Canis lupus familiaris: one gene and its partners. The protein of the gene in region 1 interacts with the protein of each later gene in a pairwise test. Links are inferred from orthologs where the notes say so. Each region holds a gene or a part of one and is shown in the gene's direction. Other genes may lie near its edges. The genes, in order: ZC3H12A, BTRC, P4HA3 and AHSP.

Region 1 (4,353 bases):
GTCCAGGGCGTGTGTGGTCCTGGGATCTGGAATCGAGTCCCACGTCAGACTCCCTGCATGGAGCCTGCTTCTCCCTCTGCCCGTGTCTCTGCCTCTCTCTCTCTCTCTATGTCTATTATGAATAAATAAATAAAATCCTAAAAAAGAAAAAAGATCCTGCTGATATATCGTGTACTGTAGTCCCACTGCATCTGAGCACATGATGAAAAAAGTTACTTCGTTCCACTACTGTTTATTTATTTATTTTTTTCCACTGCTGTTTAAAGCATACCTCAATCCTTTTGTAGCTCTACTGTGATGTCTTCTTAAAATATACTAGGAGATGAGGTGCCGGACTGGCTCCGTCAGAGAAGCATGTGACTCTTGATCCTTGGGTTGTGAGTTCCAGTCCCATGTAGAGATTACGTACATTTTTTTAAATTAAAAAATAACTTTAAAAAAATATATGAGAAAAAAAAATAAAAAAATATATGAGGAACATCAAAAAAACAGGGGAGGGACCTGATTTTTTTCTCTGCTTCTGTAAGTCCTGGATGAATTTAACCTCTGTGCCAAGGCCTTGAGGGCAGCCTGCCCACCCTTCCTAAACAGGTAACACCCTCCCCCCATGAGCTGCCCAATGGAACCATCAAAAGCCAAGGTAATTCCTAGCACCTTTCTCTCTCCGGGTCCCCCATCCCTCGCCCAGGGGGTGGGCCAGTCTGGGACCCCTGAAGACCTCACCCAGGCCGGCCAGATGCAGGCAGGTGGCAAGAAAGCAGGCAGGTTCCGGGAAGGAAGCTGGCAAGCCCAGCCTCCAAGATGCAGGCGTGGGCTGGGCATCATCACATCCAGAATGCTCCCGGGAATCAGGGCCAAGGTTTGCAAAATCCAGCTGTAAGTGGAGCAGGGGTTCCCCGGATTCTGGATTCTGCAGAAGAGTCAGCTTCTCAGGAAAGAGCCGCCTTCCTGAGCCGGAAGAGAGTGAGACTCTGGCTCGCGCGGCTAGCTTTGGGAGGGGACGGAGCTTCGTGACTCATCACCCGGTCGTGCCGGCTACAATTGGCGCAGCGCCGGACCTCCCGGAGGAGGTCCCCTGCGGGCAATCACAATCCAGAACGTAGGGACACGGGCCGGGCGCGGTGGGAGCAGAGGAGCACTGGAAGAGTCTCGGCGGGCCTCCCGGAGGAGGTGACATCATCAAAAAAGATGAATGGAACCGGGCAGGCAGCCGTCGGGGGCGGGGAGGAGAGGAGGGCACTCCCAGCCAAGGACGAGGCACATGCAGAGCGCTGGCCCGAGGCCTGCGGCCCAGCGAGCAGTCCCCAAATGTGAGGCATTCTTGCTGGGGTTGACGTATCATCATTACGGTGATCAACCTGGCCTTGTTTCTCAATATTTTTACTATCTTAAAAGTAGTTATGAGGCCGAGTAAACACCTAATGTCACTGAGCTTAATGTTAAAAGGGTTCCCGTGAAGATGGGGGCACAGCAGACAGGGTGCTCAACAGGAGCTGAGACCATTGTGACTCCCCCCCCCCCCCCCCCCCGGAAAGGGGGCTTTGTTTGCCCTCTGTGCCTGGCTTGGGGTCAGCCCCCGGGGTTGCTATGCCTGGAGGGCGCAGGAGGGAACCGTTTGGGGTCTTTAGAGTTAAGGTAGGTAACAAAGCAGGGACTTGGGTACATGGGGTCAGGCAAGTCCGGAGGAGCAGCTTCAGGGCCTGGCTAGAGATGCACGCACGTTCCCTCCTCCCTGGGTCTTCCGTGACCTCCTGAGACAGGCAGGTACTGGAGGTGGGTACCTCAGAGCTCTGCGAATCCCAGCCCCACTAGCTCCGGGCCCCTGGGCCAGTGACTTCACTCTGTTTCTGCGACTCTAGTTAAGATTACGTACGAGGATATCCAAAGCACACTCCTGGTAATAGCCACATAGGTAAGTAAATAACAAATCCCAGAAATAACATCCAGTAACAGAATGGCTGAATGACCAGTGGTATATTCCTAAAATAGAATGTTATTCAATCACCAAATGAGTAAGTTATAGGTATACAGGCAATAGAAAGGCATTTTCTTTCTTTTTTTTTTTTTAAAGATCTGATTTATTTATTCACGAGAGACACACAGAGAGAGGCAGAGACACAGGCAGAGGGAGAAGCAGGCTCCCGGCGGGGAGCCTGATGTGGGACTTGATCCCGGGACCCCGGGATCATGCCCTGAGCCAAAGGCAGGTGCTAAAACGCTGAGCCACCCAGGGATCCCCCAGAAATGTATTTTAAAAAGCAATGTGGTGTTGCCTGGCTGGCTCTGTCGGTGAAACCTGTGACTCTTGATCTTGGGGATGTGGGTTGGAGCTCCACATCGGGTGTAGAGACTAGCTGAAAATAAAAGCTTAAATTAAAAAGAACAACAATGCTGTGTGGAAAAGGGGAGTCATATAACTATAGAACGATGCCCTTTGCACCCCAAAAAGCAAAACCCAACTAAACAACTTGTTATCTTGGGATTTCTACCAAGGTTGGTAAAACTAAGAGACACATTGAGGAAATGATTAGCATAATTAAAACAAAATTCAGGAAAGTCGTCCTTCGGGATGAGGGAGGAGGCTGCAGTGGAGGCAAGTGGAAGGTCTTAAAGGTACTGGTATAGGTCTTGTTTATATAAATGTATGTATTTATTTATTTATTAGATTTTATTTATTTATTCATGAGACACACAGAGAGAGAGGCAGAGACACAGGCAGAGGGAGAACCAGGCTCCATGCAGGGGGCCCATGCGGGACCCGATCCCAGGACCCCGGGATCACCCCTGAGCTGAAGACAGACGCTCAACTACTGAGCCCCACAGAGGTCCTGGGTCTCATTTTGTAATGAGCTAGTGGACATGCGAATATCTTACTGTTGTTACTATCATCCGTTCCGCTGTCCCCGTGCAGCGTATATGGTGTCTTCACATCGAAGCTTCCGGCTGTCCCACTAATTCCCTATGGGGCCCAGGCGTGGGGGAGGCAGCTCTGTTCCCAGGGACCCGGCTCCCTGAACCTGTTTCCCCATCTCCAAAGGGAGCTGGTGTAGGTAGGGCGGCTCAGGCTGTGTCCTCCAGCTTGTGGGTTGTGTTCCCTTTTTTTTTTTTTTAAAGATTTTATTTATTTATTCATAAGAGACAGAGAGACAGAGAGAGAGAGAGGCAGAGACACAGGCAGAGGGAGAAGCAGGCTCCACGCAGGGAGCCTGATGTGGGACTTGATCCTGGGACTCCAGGGCTACACCGTGGGCCTAAGGCAGATGCTTAGCCACTGAGCCATCCAGGGATCTCTGTGTTCCCTTTTTAAACACACACACTTCGGATCCCTGAGTGGCTCAGTGGTTTAGCGCCTGCCTTTGGCCCAGGGTATGATCCTGGAGTCCTGGGATCGAGTCCCACGTCAGGCTCCCGGCGGAGAGCCTGCTTCTCCCTCCTCCTGTGTCTGTGCCTCTCTCTCTCTCTATGTCTATCAATAAATAAATAAATAAATAAATAAATCTTAAAAAGAAAAAATAAACACACACTTGAGAGCAGGGGTCAGGCCCCATCGTGTCACACACAAGTCTCCCCTCTGCCCAGAGTCACTCACTGGTGGTTTCGAAAGTGGCAAAGGTGGCAGCTGGTCCCTGGATGAGGAGCTCCTGGCCCTAGTCCCAATCCTTTCCAGATGGGGCAATTAAGCGCTTTCTGAACTTCTGGGGGGTCCAATGGGCACAGCAGTCTGTCTGTCTTCCTCACCTAAGCCCAAGAGGTGGGTAGTGGGAAGCGCTGTGCTCCGCTCAGAGCCCAGGACTGCCTGACCCGGCCCCGAAAGCGTCCTCCCCGTGGGGGTGTGTGTGTGTGCATGCGTGTGCAAAGCACAGTGTGCACACTCACGGTGACCGCTGTAAGCACCTCTCTGCTGCTTTTTCACCCCCATCGAGGGTACTTCCTGGCTGTGCTGGTCCATCCCGGCCAGTGTCCTCACCGCCCCCCCCGTGTCCCCGCTGCGGTCCCGGTGCACCTGTTGCGTGTTCCCGGCTCGGTCGGGGGCGGGGGGGCGGGGGGGGAGCCCGGGTCTGCCGCTGCGGACCGACCTCCAGCGGCGGGTGGGGCGACCTCCGTGCACCCGGGTCACTCGAGGCGCCCGTGGCCGAGCGGGGGCCGCCGGGGCGTAGGGGTCGCGCGGCGCCGAGCGCACCCCGGGGAGTCCGCGCGCGCCCGGCTGGGCCCCGGGGGGTGCGCTCCCGCCCCGCGCACGTAGCGGCCGCCGCGGCCCTGCCCCGCCCCCGACCTCGGGCCCCGCCGGCGAGCGCGCTCGGGCTGCGGGGGCGGGGCCGGGCGGGGGGGGCGGGGCCGGGCAACCCGGGGCGG
Region 2 (3,818 bases), on another chromosome or scaffold:
TATAGTTTTAAGATTTTATTTTTTTAAAGTAATTTCTATACCCAACATGGGGCTCAAACTCAAGCCTGAGATTAATCAAGAGTTGTACGTTCTTCTGACTGAACCAGCCAGGTGCCCCCAGTTTTTTTAATTAGCATGTAAGCATTTTTGAGAACTTGCTTTTGTTTCCATTATAGAGAAAAATTGTCCTGAACAATGGGTGAAAAGAGAAAGTGTCATTAGTAACAGAGGTGGACATACTTTGTGAGGGCAGGATATCACTGACACTATGTATCTCATTCTTTTTTTAAGATTTTATTTATTTATTCATAGAGACATAGAGAGAATGAGAGACAGAGACACAGGCAGAGGGAGAAGCAGGCTCCTCACGGGGAGCCCGATGTGGGACTCGACCCCAGGTCTCCAGGGTCACGCCCTGGGCTGAAGGAGGCATTAAACCGCTGAGCCACCCGGGCTACCCCATGTATCTCATTCTTACTGGTGATTTCAGGAAGCATTACTTTTCTTTTCTTGGTCATTTCCTTCACAGGCAACTGGGTACATTGAATTCATCCTTTTTATGCCTTGGAGACCCTGGTTACAGACTTATATAAAGCATTGTGCTTTGAAAATATATATTTCATTTTAACTTAAATCATACATTTTTCTGTCTGAGTTATACAGCAGAAAGGAAATAAATTACATTGAAAGCAATACATTTGGTATGAGTATTGATTGATTTTATTTTTGTGGAATTTTTTGAAGACATATGAAGTGTATTATAACATGCCAAGCTTAGAAAAGAATACATGAAAATTCACTTGACTCAATTTTCTCTTCCAGATTATGGGACATAGAATGTGGTGCATGTTTACGAGTGTTAGAAGGCCACGAGGAACTGGTGCGTTGTATTCGATTTGATAACAAGAGGATAGTCAGTGGGGCCTATGATGGGTGAGTTTGCTAACAGGGTTTAAAAAACAAAATGTACATCTTGATTCCTCCTACCGGAGGATGTTAAATACAGTATTTCCCTGACTCTAAAAGATTATAGATTTTACAGAAAGGATCTGATACAATATTTCTTGTGTCTCATCTATGTATTCCCCTCTCCTTTGTTTACTTTTCTAAGATATTTTTCCCAGTCATTTAATTGCACTTGTTTCCTGGTGATTTTCATTAACAGTTTAGTTATTTAGTTATGCATTCATCTGTTTTGATTCACCTATAAAGCAAAGAACTAGGAAAACACAGTATGCCAGGATATGTGTGTAAAATAATGACTTATTAATAAAACTGAAATATTGGAGGCAGTATCTTTGGGGCATAATGTGGTAGGCTCTTGAATTTGATGTCTTTGAGTAATTCCTAAAAGCGCAGCTCTCTTGTCTTCACTTCTCTTAACATTTTAGTGACAAGTTCAGTAATCTTTATTTTCTTCGGTCTAATTTCCAATGGTTTTAAAATCCATTCATGTTGTGAATGGATCCCATGTCCGGCAATGCTAAGCACATAGTAAACTCACATAAAAGTGTATTTACTTATGAAGGCCTCTTTATTATTTCTTCTTGTCAGGATGCCTGACATGAGGGAGTGGAAGGCTATAGTTCACATCTTGGCAGCTTTTTAAATATTAGAAACTACCTTACTACATTACCTTAGTTTAGGAGCTGGCAGTGATTAAGACAACTCATACAGTAGGAACAGACCATTTTCTCTGCTTTGAGTCATCCATCACTGTTCTACCCTGTGGGAGATTGTTCAGGGTGTGAGAACATACTCCAGTTACATGGTATTTTCTGATTGCCCTGGTTTTTATCTGTACCCACCTTTCTTGGGTTTTGTCTGTTATTTACCTTGAGGAGACATGACCATATGTTTGGTTCTTGGAAGAGCTAAACTTTTCTTATTTTAATCAAAATATGGGAATTTGTATAAACTCCAGAGTATTTCAATGGGCTCTAGTCCTCTGGTTCAGGTTACCTGGGCCATTCTTAGAATTGACCAGAAAGAAGATACTTCACAATTGTAGGTTTCTAGGTCTAAGTGATCTCTTCTATCAGTCTTTAAGAGTCTAATATATAAGATCTCTTCCTGGCCCCAAAGTATGGTATAACTTTACCATTCACTTAAGCTTGGTTAGAGCTAACCTATTTCTCATTTTTAGGTTAAACCTGTACATTTTTCCCCTGTTAAGACCAATAACCTCTACCCAAGAATGAATGCAAAAACCAAGTCTCCAAAACAAAAAAAAGTTCTTATATATTCTTGTGAGCTGCATTTATCATATAAATTACATTCATCAAAAAAAAAATTACATTCATCATACCTATTTATTGCCATGACTTTTTGCTATTTTTCCCATGGTCCCTTAATTTTGCTTTTAATTAAGATTTTTGTCCCCTTTTGGATCTTTAGAAAAATTAAAGTGTGGGATCTTGTAGCTGCTTTGGACCCCCGTGCTCCTGCAGGGACTCTCTGTCTACGGACCCTTGTGGTAAGAACCTTGCTGTTTAGAGGGGGTTGGGGAACAGGAAGGGAAAGAAATGAAACATTGATGTGGTATGGAATACAGATCTGGATTTGATAGTTAGAAGCTCACGAAACCTACTACTAAGTGGAAAGGCAACTAATACATGACAATAAAATATGTTTTTTTAGCGCCTTTCATCCAAAAGTGCTTTAGAGACTATGTATAGAAAGGAATGTGGCAGCTGTTTAACAGCTGCACAGCAACTCTACACCACAGTTTAGTACAGGAAGTGAATAAGGATTCTGTATCCACCAGAAACAGTAGGGGGTACTTAGGGAGAGAGAACATAATTACTCAAATTGGAACCTGTCCAGAAGCTGAGGACCTACACACCTGTGCCTGCAAAAAGTGTCATGGGAGTCTGTGTGAACCCCCGGTCAGCCCCCTGGCTCTGCAGCCTATTCAAGGCATGCTGCCTCCAGCAACATGAATCCCATCTCTTTTATTCCTTGCCATAAACATCTTGACATTTGAGGAAAGAAGTGACTCAAAAGGAAGAAAGTCACCTTTGAAAGTGCTAAATTCTTTATCATGGTGTTCACCAAAGGCCCGGATGAGAAAATGGCCTAAGGTTAAAAGCTGCTGCCATTGGAAAAAGAAAATTAGGTGGGGCACCAGGGAGCACAACTCAGGGTAAAGATGAGAGCTAGCATTTGAAGCCCAGTGTTCTGAATCCTAACTCTCAACATTTGGCAGCCTCTGCTCTGGAGAAGAGAGAGAGAGATGTTTCTTTGTCTTCCTGATTGGATTTAAAGCTCATTGTTGCAGCATCAGACCTACTTTACCTGCATGTTTCAGACATGTTTTTTAAAATGTATACTTTCATTCATTTAAAATTAATCTAAGTCTAAATGAGGTGTAATTTACATACAGCAAAATTTACCCTTTTTCAGTGTGTTTTTCTGAATTTTGCAGTGTGTAAACACCTTGATCGAGATCTAGAACATTTCTAACACCCCAAAAATTATACCGCTTCATAGCACTACCCTCTCCCACACCCCTAGCCACTATTCTGATTTTTGCCATTTTATGAATGTCCTATAAAGTCATACAGTATGTAGCTTTTTGCATTTGGCTTTATTCACTTCATTTGAGAGTCATTCATGTTGTTGCATGTGTTCGTGCTTAGTTCTTTTGTATTGCTGAGTAGTATTCCACTGTGTGAATGAGCCAGTTTGTTTATGCACTTACCAGTTGAAGGACATTTGGAATACTTCCAGTTTAGGGTGATGCTGAAAACATTCCCATACAGGTTTTTGTGTATACATACTGTTTTCATTCCTCTTAGGTAAATACCTAGGAGTGC
Region 3 (4,280 bases), on another chromosome or scaffold:
TAGAGTTAATACGAGAATAAAATGAGCTAACACATGTAAAATGCTTGGACAATGCCTAGCACACAGGAAGTGTTCAGTAAGTATTAACTATTATTTTTACAGTTGCTGTTATTACTGTTATTGCTACCTTAAACTTCCATTGGATTTTCATAGAGAATAGGCTAAGTTTCTGAGTATGTCATGCAATGACAATAAATCTGACAGTTCCAACCACAGTTCCATCATTTCTGGAACTCAAAACTATTTTTTCATCTCCAAACCTGGGTACACATAGGTACCTTCTGCCAGGAAAGCCCATCCCTCCCTTGCCTATCATCTTCCAGACAATTTCTTTTGATTCTTCTTATCCTGATAGCACTTTATTGTGGTTCCTGGTTTACATCTGTTTTCCCTTGTGAGTCCAGGTTGGGTGTGCTATTTCTCCGTGTCTTCAGCACAGTGACAGAGGTGGTAAATACTTGTTGAATGAAGGAATGGAAGTTGCCTGGGAAGGTGGGGAAAAGGATAAGTAGCCTAATAGGATAATAGTAACTTTTTTGCTTAAAGTGGCCATAGGTACATGGTATAGGGCAATGATCCAGGACCCCAGTTTTAGGTTTGGCAGGTCCTCGATTTGTCAGGCAGTGACCCTAATCGCCTTCACCCTCTTTACCTGAGGTCCGACTCTGCCCGTCTTTCATGATGGTTCAGATGTCAAGTCTTCTGGGAGGTGTTTCCTTCCCTCTGCTCCTCCACAGCTCTGCACCCACATCGTCATCACCAATCACATCATTCACTCTCCTGGATTTCCCGATCAGAATCCAGTAGTGTTGTTGCATTTCCACCCGATCCAGAGGGGTGACTATCTGGGGGATGGCGTCGCGTTGTTCACAGACCAGTGAATTCATCCTCCCACCCCCACCCCCCACCCCAGTCCTCGCCTGTTTCCCCCGAGTGTGACCCGGCACCGCGGCAAACACCTGCCAGGGCTGCGACGTGGTGGCAGGCGGGCGGGCGGACATTGCGGACGGGGGGGCGAGGGGGCAGGAGAGCGGGTGCGGGAGAGCGGGCCGAGGCGTCGGAGCCCGGGAACGGGGGGGGGGGGGGGGGGGGGGCGGGCCATGGGCCGGGCGGGGTGGGGGGAGGGGGGTGGGAGGGGCGGGGCGGGCCGTGGAGGGGCGGGCCGTGGAGGGGCGGGGCGGGCCGTGGAGGGGCGGGGCGAGGGCGGGGCGGGGCGGGGCGGGCCGTGGAGGGGCGGGGCGGGGCGGAGGGGCGGGGCGGGGCGGAGGGGCGGGGCGGGGCGGGCCGGGCGGGAGCGGCGCGCGCCGGGAGCCGAGCGGACCGTCCGAGGAGGCCGCGCGCGGGAGCCGGCGATGGGCCCCGCGGCGGGGCTGGCGGCGCTGCTGGCGGTGCTGGCGCTCCGGGCGGGGGACCCGGCAGGGGCCGCGGCGCGGGGGGACACCTTCTCGGCGCTGACCAGCGTGGCGCGCGCCCTGGGGCCCGAGCGCCGGCTGCTGACGCTGCTGCGGCGCTACCTGCGCGGGGAAGAGGCGCGGCTGCGGGACCTGACCAGGTGAGGACGCGCGCGGGAGCCGCCGAGGCGCCTGCGGCGGGGAGACCGAGTCAGAGGGCGAGACCGAGGCGCGTGCTCTCGGGGCGAGTGGCTCAGTCTCAGTCACCCAGCGTGGGACCCCGGACCCGGTTGGAGCCTGGGTAAGAGCCTCTCCGGACCGGGAGGCTGAGACTCCGTGGCCCGGTGTGACCGTCAGCCCCCGGGTCACCCTGCGGGGGACCCCGAGACGCTGTGTCGCACAGCGTGGAGCCTTCCACTCCGTCGTGCACCCACAGTCGCATCCCAGGTCCATCCTCACACGGCCTACCTGATGCGCTGTGGAAGTGTGGCGGGAGTGACTCAGGACCAGGAGGACCTCGCAAGGCGCGGTGGCAAGCTGTGTGGGCCTCCGGCTCTGTGTCACAGGGACACAGCAGACTGCAAAAGTAGAGGGAGAAAATACTGTGTGCCTGTAGCCCTGTGTGTGACCGAGAACCGGTGGTTAGCATGAGGTGACGTTCTGTGACCATGGGTGAGATTTACATGCCTTTGGGTCTGGATGGGCACGAAGCTATGGACATCTTTGCATCACCCTGGATGCTGATGGTACTGCTCACTTTATGAATAAGGCTTCGTGTTCATTAACTCTTTCAACACGCCTGTTTGAGTGCCTGTTATGAGCCAACCGCTCTTCCAGGCAGTGGGGATAAAATGGTGAGCAAGACCCAATCCTTCCCTCAGGGAGCTTGGAGTCTGTAGCATCATGATTATTAATCAGAGATGTCCATTGTCTCCTTTGCTTGCAACTCTCCCTTCTCTTCCCACACATAAGAGCTCTCTCAATTCTAAATACAAGAAAACTGCGATTTAATATATGTATATTGGGCAGCCCGGGTGGCTCAGCGGTTTAGCGCCGCCTTCAGCCCAGGGCCCGATCCTGGAGACCCCCGGATCGAGTCCCACATCAGGCTCCCTGCATGGAGCCTGCTTCCCCCTCTGCCTGTGTCTCTACCTCTCTCTCTCTCTCTCTCTTTGTGTCTCTCATAAATAAATAAATAAAAATCTTTAAAAAAATAATATATGTATATTGACGCCAAGAAAAAACTAGGGGAAAACCATACTTGATACTGGGGGATTCTAAGTGTGGCACACACAAGCAGATGCTCAGCTAATTCTCTTTGCTATACAATCAGCAAACTCTAGTGCTACACACCGTGGCATAAAATACTATAGACTTGGCACATTGGGGCACTGCAATCCTGTATTGACTGTCAGTGCCAAACTATGAAAAATGAATGATTGTATTATGTGATGCATTGTGTTGTGTGTTCTCTGCTCCAGACATGAAGAAGCCTACAAACAGTGGTGTAACCACATTGCTATCTGAATACATTAATATAACTCTTACATCATCTGACCCTTTGCTGAGCTGACAAAACAGAGAGCTGTCTCACAATGTACTGCTGATAAAACTGGGCGAGCGTATGTGATAGTAATACTAATTCTGGGGCGAATGCGAAGAATGGGAAGAAGGCGTGTGGGACACCATGACTGTGTGAGAGAGCCCCTGTTGGAGAGAATCAAACACACACAGTGTGAAAGACCTTGTTTGTTAATCAGTGGTGACTGAATGATGATGTAATTTGGTATATCCTCTTAAGTATGTAGCTTGCATAGAAACAGTTATATTCATTTTAAATTTACTATTAGGGGACGCCTGGGTGGCTCAGTGGTTGAGCATCTGCCTTTGGCTCAGGTCGTGATGCCAGGGTCCTGCAATGGAGTCCCACATCAGGCTCCTTGCAGGGAGCCTGCTTTCTCCCTCTGCCGTGTCTCTGCCTCTTTGTGTCTGTCATGAATAAATAAAATCTTAAAAAATAATAATAAATAAATAAACAAATAAATAAATTTACTATTAGTTTGAAATAGTGTGAATATACACACATGCACATACACAAAATATATGTGTATTATAACAGTAAAATATATGTGTATTATAACAGTAAAAGATAATAATTTCAATAATTTCAATCAAAAGATAAAAATTTCAATAATTCTTGTCACTCTTTAGAGTTGCATAGTTGTCCAGTGTTTTATGGGCCTACTCTATAAAGCAAAATGTTTTATTTTTTAAATTTTTTAAAAATATTCTGTTTATTTATTTAAGAGGGAGAAAGAGAACATGCGTAAGAGCACAAGAGCACGGGGAGGGAGAAGCAGACTCTGCTGAGCAGGAAGCCTGAGGTGGGGCTGGATCCCAGGACCAAAGGATCATCACCTGAGCCAAAGGCAGGCACTTAACCAACTGAGCCACCCAGGCGTCAAGCAAAATGTTCTAATTCTGTTCTTAGTCCATGCATTGGAGTCTAGGTTTATTGGTGGGAATAAAAAACTCTTCTCTTTAATTTGAGATTCCAGCATGTTCCCTGCTACCCATGTGCTCATTCTCATACCACTAATCTCTTTATTTGGGTGGCTCAGATAGAGATGAGGGTTCAAGATCATGATGCTGGGCCTCTCACGGAACAGGTTCAGAACAGAAAGTTTGCAGTGTGGATCAAAGTGACTGGTGGAGGGAGTGAGGGGCTCCAATGCTGGTCTCCTTTACTGTCTCATCACCATTGTCCTCAAAGCTTTGTCACAGGACCCTAATCTCATTTGCTTCTTACACACAATGCTTTGAAATAGGTTGTATGACTCTTAAAAAAATGAGAATTCATCTAAAATATGAGAAAACTAAAGTTTAGTA
Region 4 (3,182 bases), on another chromosome or scaffold:
GTGGCTCAGTTGGTTGTGCACCTGGCTTCCGCTCAGGTCGTGGTCCCAGGGTTCTGGGATCGAGACCCGCATGGGGCTCCCTGTTCAGTGGGGGGCCTGCTTCTCCCTCTCCTCCCCACTTATGCTCTCTCACTATCTATCTCAAATAATAAATATAATCTTTTATGAAATATTAGTTTCAGGTGTACAAAATAGTGATTCAACAATTCTGTATATTAAAAAAAACAATTCTGTATATTGCTCAGTGCTCATCAGGATAAATATACTCTTAATCTCCTTCATCTATTTCACCCATCCCCCAGGCCACCTCCCTGCTTCATGTCTTCCTTATGCCCCTGTTTCTTCCTCTTTATTGTATGTCTAACTTCTTTTGCTCAACATAATTATTCTGAGATTCATCCATGTTCTCATGAATACCATTAGTCTGTTCCTTTTTATTGCTGAATTAATCATATGAATTTAATTATAATTTAATTATATGAATATGCCACAATCTGTGTATCTATTCAGTGGTTATTGGACATTTAAGTTGTTCCCATTTTGGGGAATTATGAATAAAGCTGCTGTGAACATTTGCATGTAAGTGGTTTTATATATATATAAAATGTTGTATTTATTTATTCATGGGAGACACACAGAGAGAGGCAGAGACCTAGGCAAAGGGGGAAGCAGGCTCCATGCAGGGAGCCCAATGCAGGACTCAATCCTGGAACTCTGGTATCATGCCCTGAGCCAAAGGCAGACACTCAGCCGCTGAGCCACCCAGGCATCCCTGCATGTAAGTGTTTTTGTAGATGTGTATGTTCATTTCTTATGAACTATACCTAGGAGTGGAATTGCTGGGTCATGTGGTAATTGTATGTATGGAAGCAGACCAAGTATCCATCAATAGATGAATAGATAAAGAAGATGTGGTATACATACACAATGGAGTATCATTCAGCCATAAAAAAAGAATGAAATCTTGCCATTTGCAATGACATGGATGGAGCTAGAGAATTAAGTGGAACTAAGTGAAATAAGTCCGTCTGAGAAAGATAGACACTATATAATTGCACTCATATGAGGAATTTAGGAAACAAAACAAATGAGCAAGTGAAAGAGAGACAGAGACAGAGAGGGAGAGAGAGCCTCCAAGAAATAGATTCTTAACTATTGAGAACAAATGGATGGTCACCAGAGGGGAAGTGAGTAGGGGGATGGGTGAAATAGAGGATGGGAATTAAGGAGGGCACTCATCGTGATAAGCACTGGGTAATGTATGGAATTATCGAGTCCCTATATTGTACATGTGAACGTACTATAACACTGTATGTTAACTATATTGGAATTTAAATGAAATGAAATGGAAAAAAAGTATCTGTCATCCAACAGGGAGTCAGTTGATACTAATTCTTTTTGTCTGAATTTTAGTTTTGGAGTGTGGATACTGGGATGTGGGGCAGATGGCAAGGATCTGTCCTGGGTTTGGTTTTCTAGGTCTCCCTACTTATCTGTTTTTAATGGCCTTGCTATCTTTTAACTTCAGAGAAACCTCTCCCTTGTTCCCAACCCCTGGTTGACCTATCACCTTCCTTCAGGACCTAGATGTAGGGCGTTTCCCTCTTATGCTGACACTTGACTCTGCCTACATTTAGCTCAGAGAGGGACATAACACACCCTGGAAACTGTGGGTGAGACATACACCGTTGGACCTGCAGGTGAGCCAACCTGGGAGAAATGTGATCTCAGCAGAATATGATTTGAAAGATGCTGGAGAGGTGGTCCTACAAGGCACCAGAGATCTTTAAGGGAAATAAGGGAATTGGGGGAAATATGCAGGAATGAAGAAAAGGATACTTAAATTTGATCTCTTTCTCTAACGTAGGCAGATGGCTTTGCTTCAGGCCAATAAGGATCTCATTTCTACAGGAATTAAGGAATTTAATGTTCTGCTGAATCAGCAGGTGAGCCCAGGCACTGTTTCAAAGGATAGGCCTAGACTCTTGGCAGGTGGGTGAGGGCAGAGAAGGGACAATAATTTGGAACTGGGGCGTAATGGTGCAGTTAATGGCAACAATTAGAGACAGGGAATACAAGTCAGAGAAAGGAGAATGTCAGAGGTTGTGGGTTATTCTTGAATCACACAGCTGACCACATTCTCCCTCGTGATCCCCTCTCCCTGCAGGTCTTCCCTAATCCTCCTATCCCTGAAGAAGCCATGGTGACTATGGTGAATGACTGGGTGAACTTCTACATCAACTATTACAGGCAGAAGATGGTGGGGGAGCAGCAAGAGCAGGAGAAGGCTCTCCAGGAACTTCAGCAAGAGCTAAATACTCTGTCTGCCCCTTTCCTGGAGAAATATAGAGCTTTCCTGAAGCACTTATGAGCAACTAAATCACCCACTGCCTTTCTCTTAGCTCAAAACCCCAGGCCTGCATCTCTAAGAAACTCTTAAATCCTGCCTCCGAGTTCTTGGAGTGCTCAGGCTCTGCTCCTTCATGGTGTTACTCTACCTTGACACCTCAATAAAGACCAAATTGGTTTGCTGGTCTTCCTGTCTCTTCTGTTCTTTTTCAGTTGTTGGTCCCTGACTTGTGGAGGCAGTTGGTTCCTTTTCCTTTAGCTCTATTTCCTAGATATGATCTTGGATATTTAATTCCTTTAGAGCAGAGGTTAGCAGCCTTAAGTAACCACTGGGCAATACTAAAATAGCCTGAATGACAGGCCAGGCAGGCGGAGAGAAAGTGTTGGGGTGTTAGAATCATAAAAATAAAAAAAATAAAAGGAAAAGAAAAAAGAAGCTCTCTAGAAATTGTGGCCCTGTGAAATTCTTGTTGAAAGACTTCCAGTCTTGTTCATCCTACAGTAGGTGAAATCAAGAGGCCACTCATCTCAATTTTCGAATTCCTTGCCCTTAGCCCCAGCTTGAACAAAGTTCTAGGATCTCAGAACTCTAATACCACAGAATACCTCCCTGGAGTATCGCTGTGAGAGTTGGAAAGGATCTTGGGAACCATTCAATACATCCCTTATTTTTCAGATAGGAAAACCTTTGGCTCTGAATCCCTCAGCCTCAGATCCTAGGCTTGGGAAGCATAGATTCCTGTTCTCCTCTGGGCCCTAAACTTCTCCTGCCATTCCCAGTACTAGATCTCTTTTCTCTTCAACCTCTAAACATTGCAAACGTCTTCATTTTA

The links.
Region 2: the proteins of ZC3H12A (region 1) and BTRC interact in binary tests that used the Homo sapiens proteins (3 or more experiments, as listed by UniProt). The link is inferred for Canis lupus familiaris from reciprocal best matches to the Homo sapiens genes ZC3H12A and BTRC.
Region 3: the proteins of ZC3H12A (region 1) and P4HA3 interact in binary tests that used the Homo sapiens proteins (3 or more experiments, as listed by UniProt). The two-hybrid records come from large-scale screens. The link is inferred for Canis lupus familiaris from reciprocal best matches to the Homo sapiens genes ZC3H12A and P4HA3.
Region 4: the proteins of ZC3H12A (region 1) and AHSP interact in binary tests that used the Homo sapiens proteins (3 or more experiments, as listed by UniProt). The two-hybrid records come from large-scale screens. The link is inferred for Canis lupus familiaris from reciprocal best matches to the Homo sapiens genes ZC3H12A and AHSP.

Annotation. Positions count from the first base shown.
Region 1 is NC_049236.1:5,056,385-5,060,737, reverse strand, and holds the start of ZC3H12A (endoribonuclease ZC3H12A), read left to right. Parts: upstream 1-1,549; 5' UTR 1,550-1,635; intron 1,636-1,651; exon of another isoform or gene 1,652-1,773; intron 1,774-1,775; exon of another isoform or gene 1,776-1,912; intron 1,913-4,353. UniProt on the Homo sapiens protein: Endoribonuclease involved in various biological functions such as cellular inflammatory response and immune homeostasis, glial differentiation of neuroprogenitor cells, cell death of cardiomyocytes, adipogenesis and angiogenesis.
Region 2 is NC_049249.1:14,342,817-14,346,634, forward strand, and holds part of BTRC (F-box/WD repeat-containing protein 1A), read left to right. Parts: intron 1-822; coding exon 823-933; intron 934-2,397; coding exon 2,398-2,476; intron 2,477-3,818. UniProt on the Homo sapiens protein: Substrate recognition component of a SCF (SKP1-CUL1-F-box protein) E3 ubiquitin-protein ligase complex which mediates the ubiquitination and subsequent proteasomal degradation of target proteins. Recognizes and binds to phosphorylated target proteins.
Region 3 is NC_049242.1:24,105,242-24,109,521, forward strand, and holds the start of P4HA3 (prolyl 4-hydroxylase subunit alpha-3), read left to right. Parts: upstream 1-1,337; 5' UTR 1,338-1,352; coding exon 1,353-1,552; intron 1,553-1,558; exon of another isoform or gene 1,559-1,692; intron 1,693-4,280. UniProt on the Homo sapiens protein: Catalyzes the post-translational formation of 4-hydroxyproline in -Xaa-Pro-Gly- sequences in collagens and other proteins.
Region 4 is NC_049227.1:16,903,986-16,907,167, reverse strand, and holds AHSP (alpha-hemoglobin-stabilizing protein), read left to right. Parts: upstream 1-1,617; 5' UTR 1,618-1,700; intron 1,701-1,867; 5' UTR 1,868-1,871; coding exon 1,872-1,946; intron 1,947-2,167; coding exon 2,168-2,371; 3' UTR 2,372-2,536; downstream 2,537-3,182. UniProt on the Homo sapiens protein: Acts as a chaperone to prevent the harmful aggregation of alpha-hemoglobin during normal erythroid cell development. Specifically protects free alpha-hemoglobin from precipitation.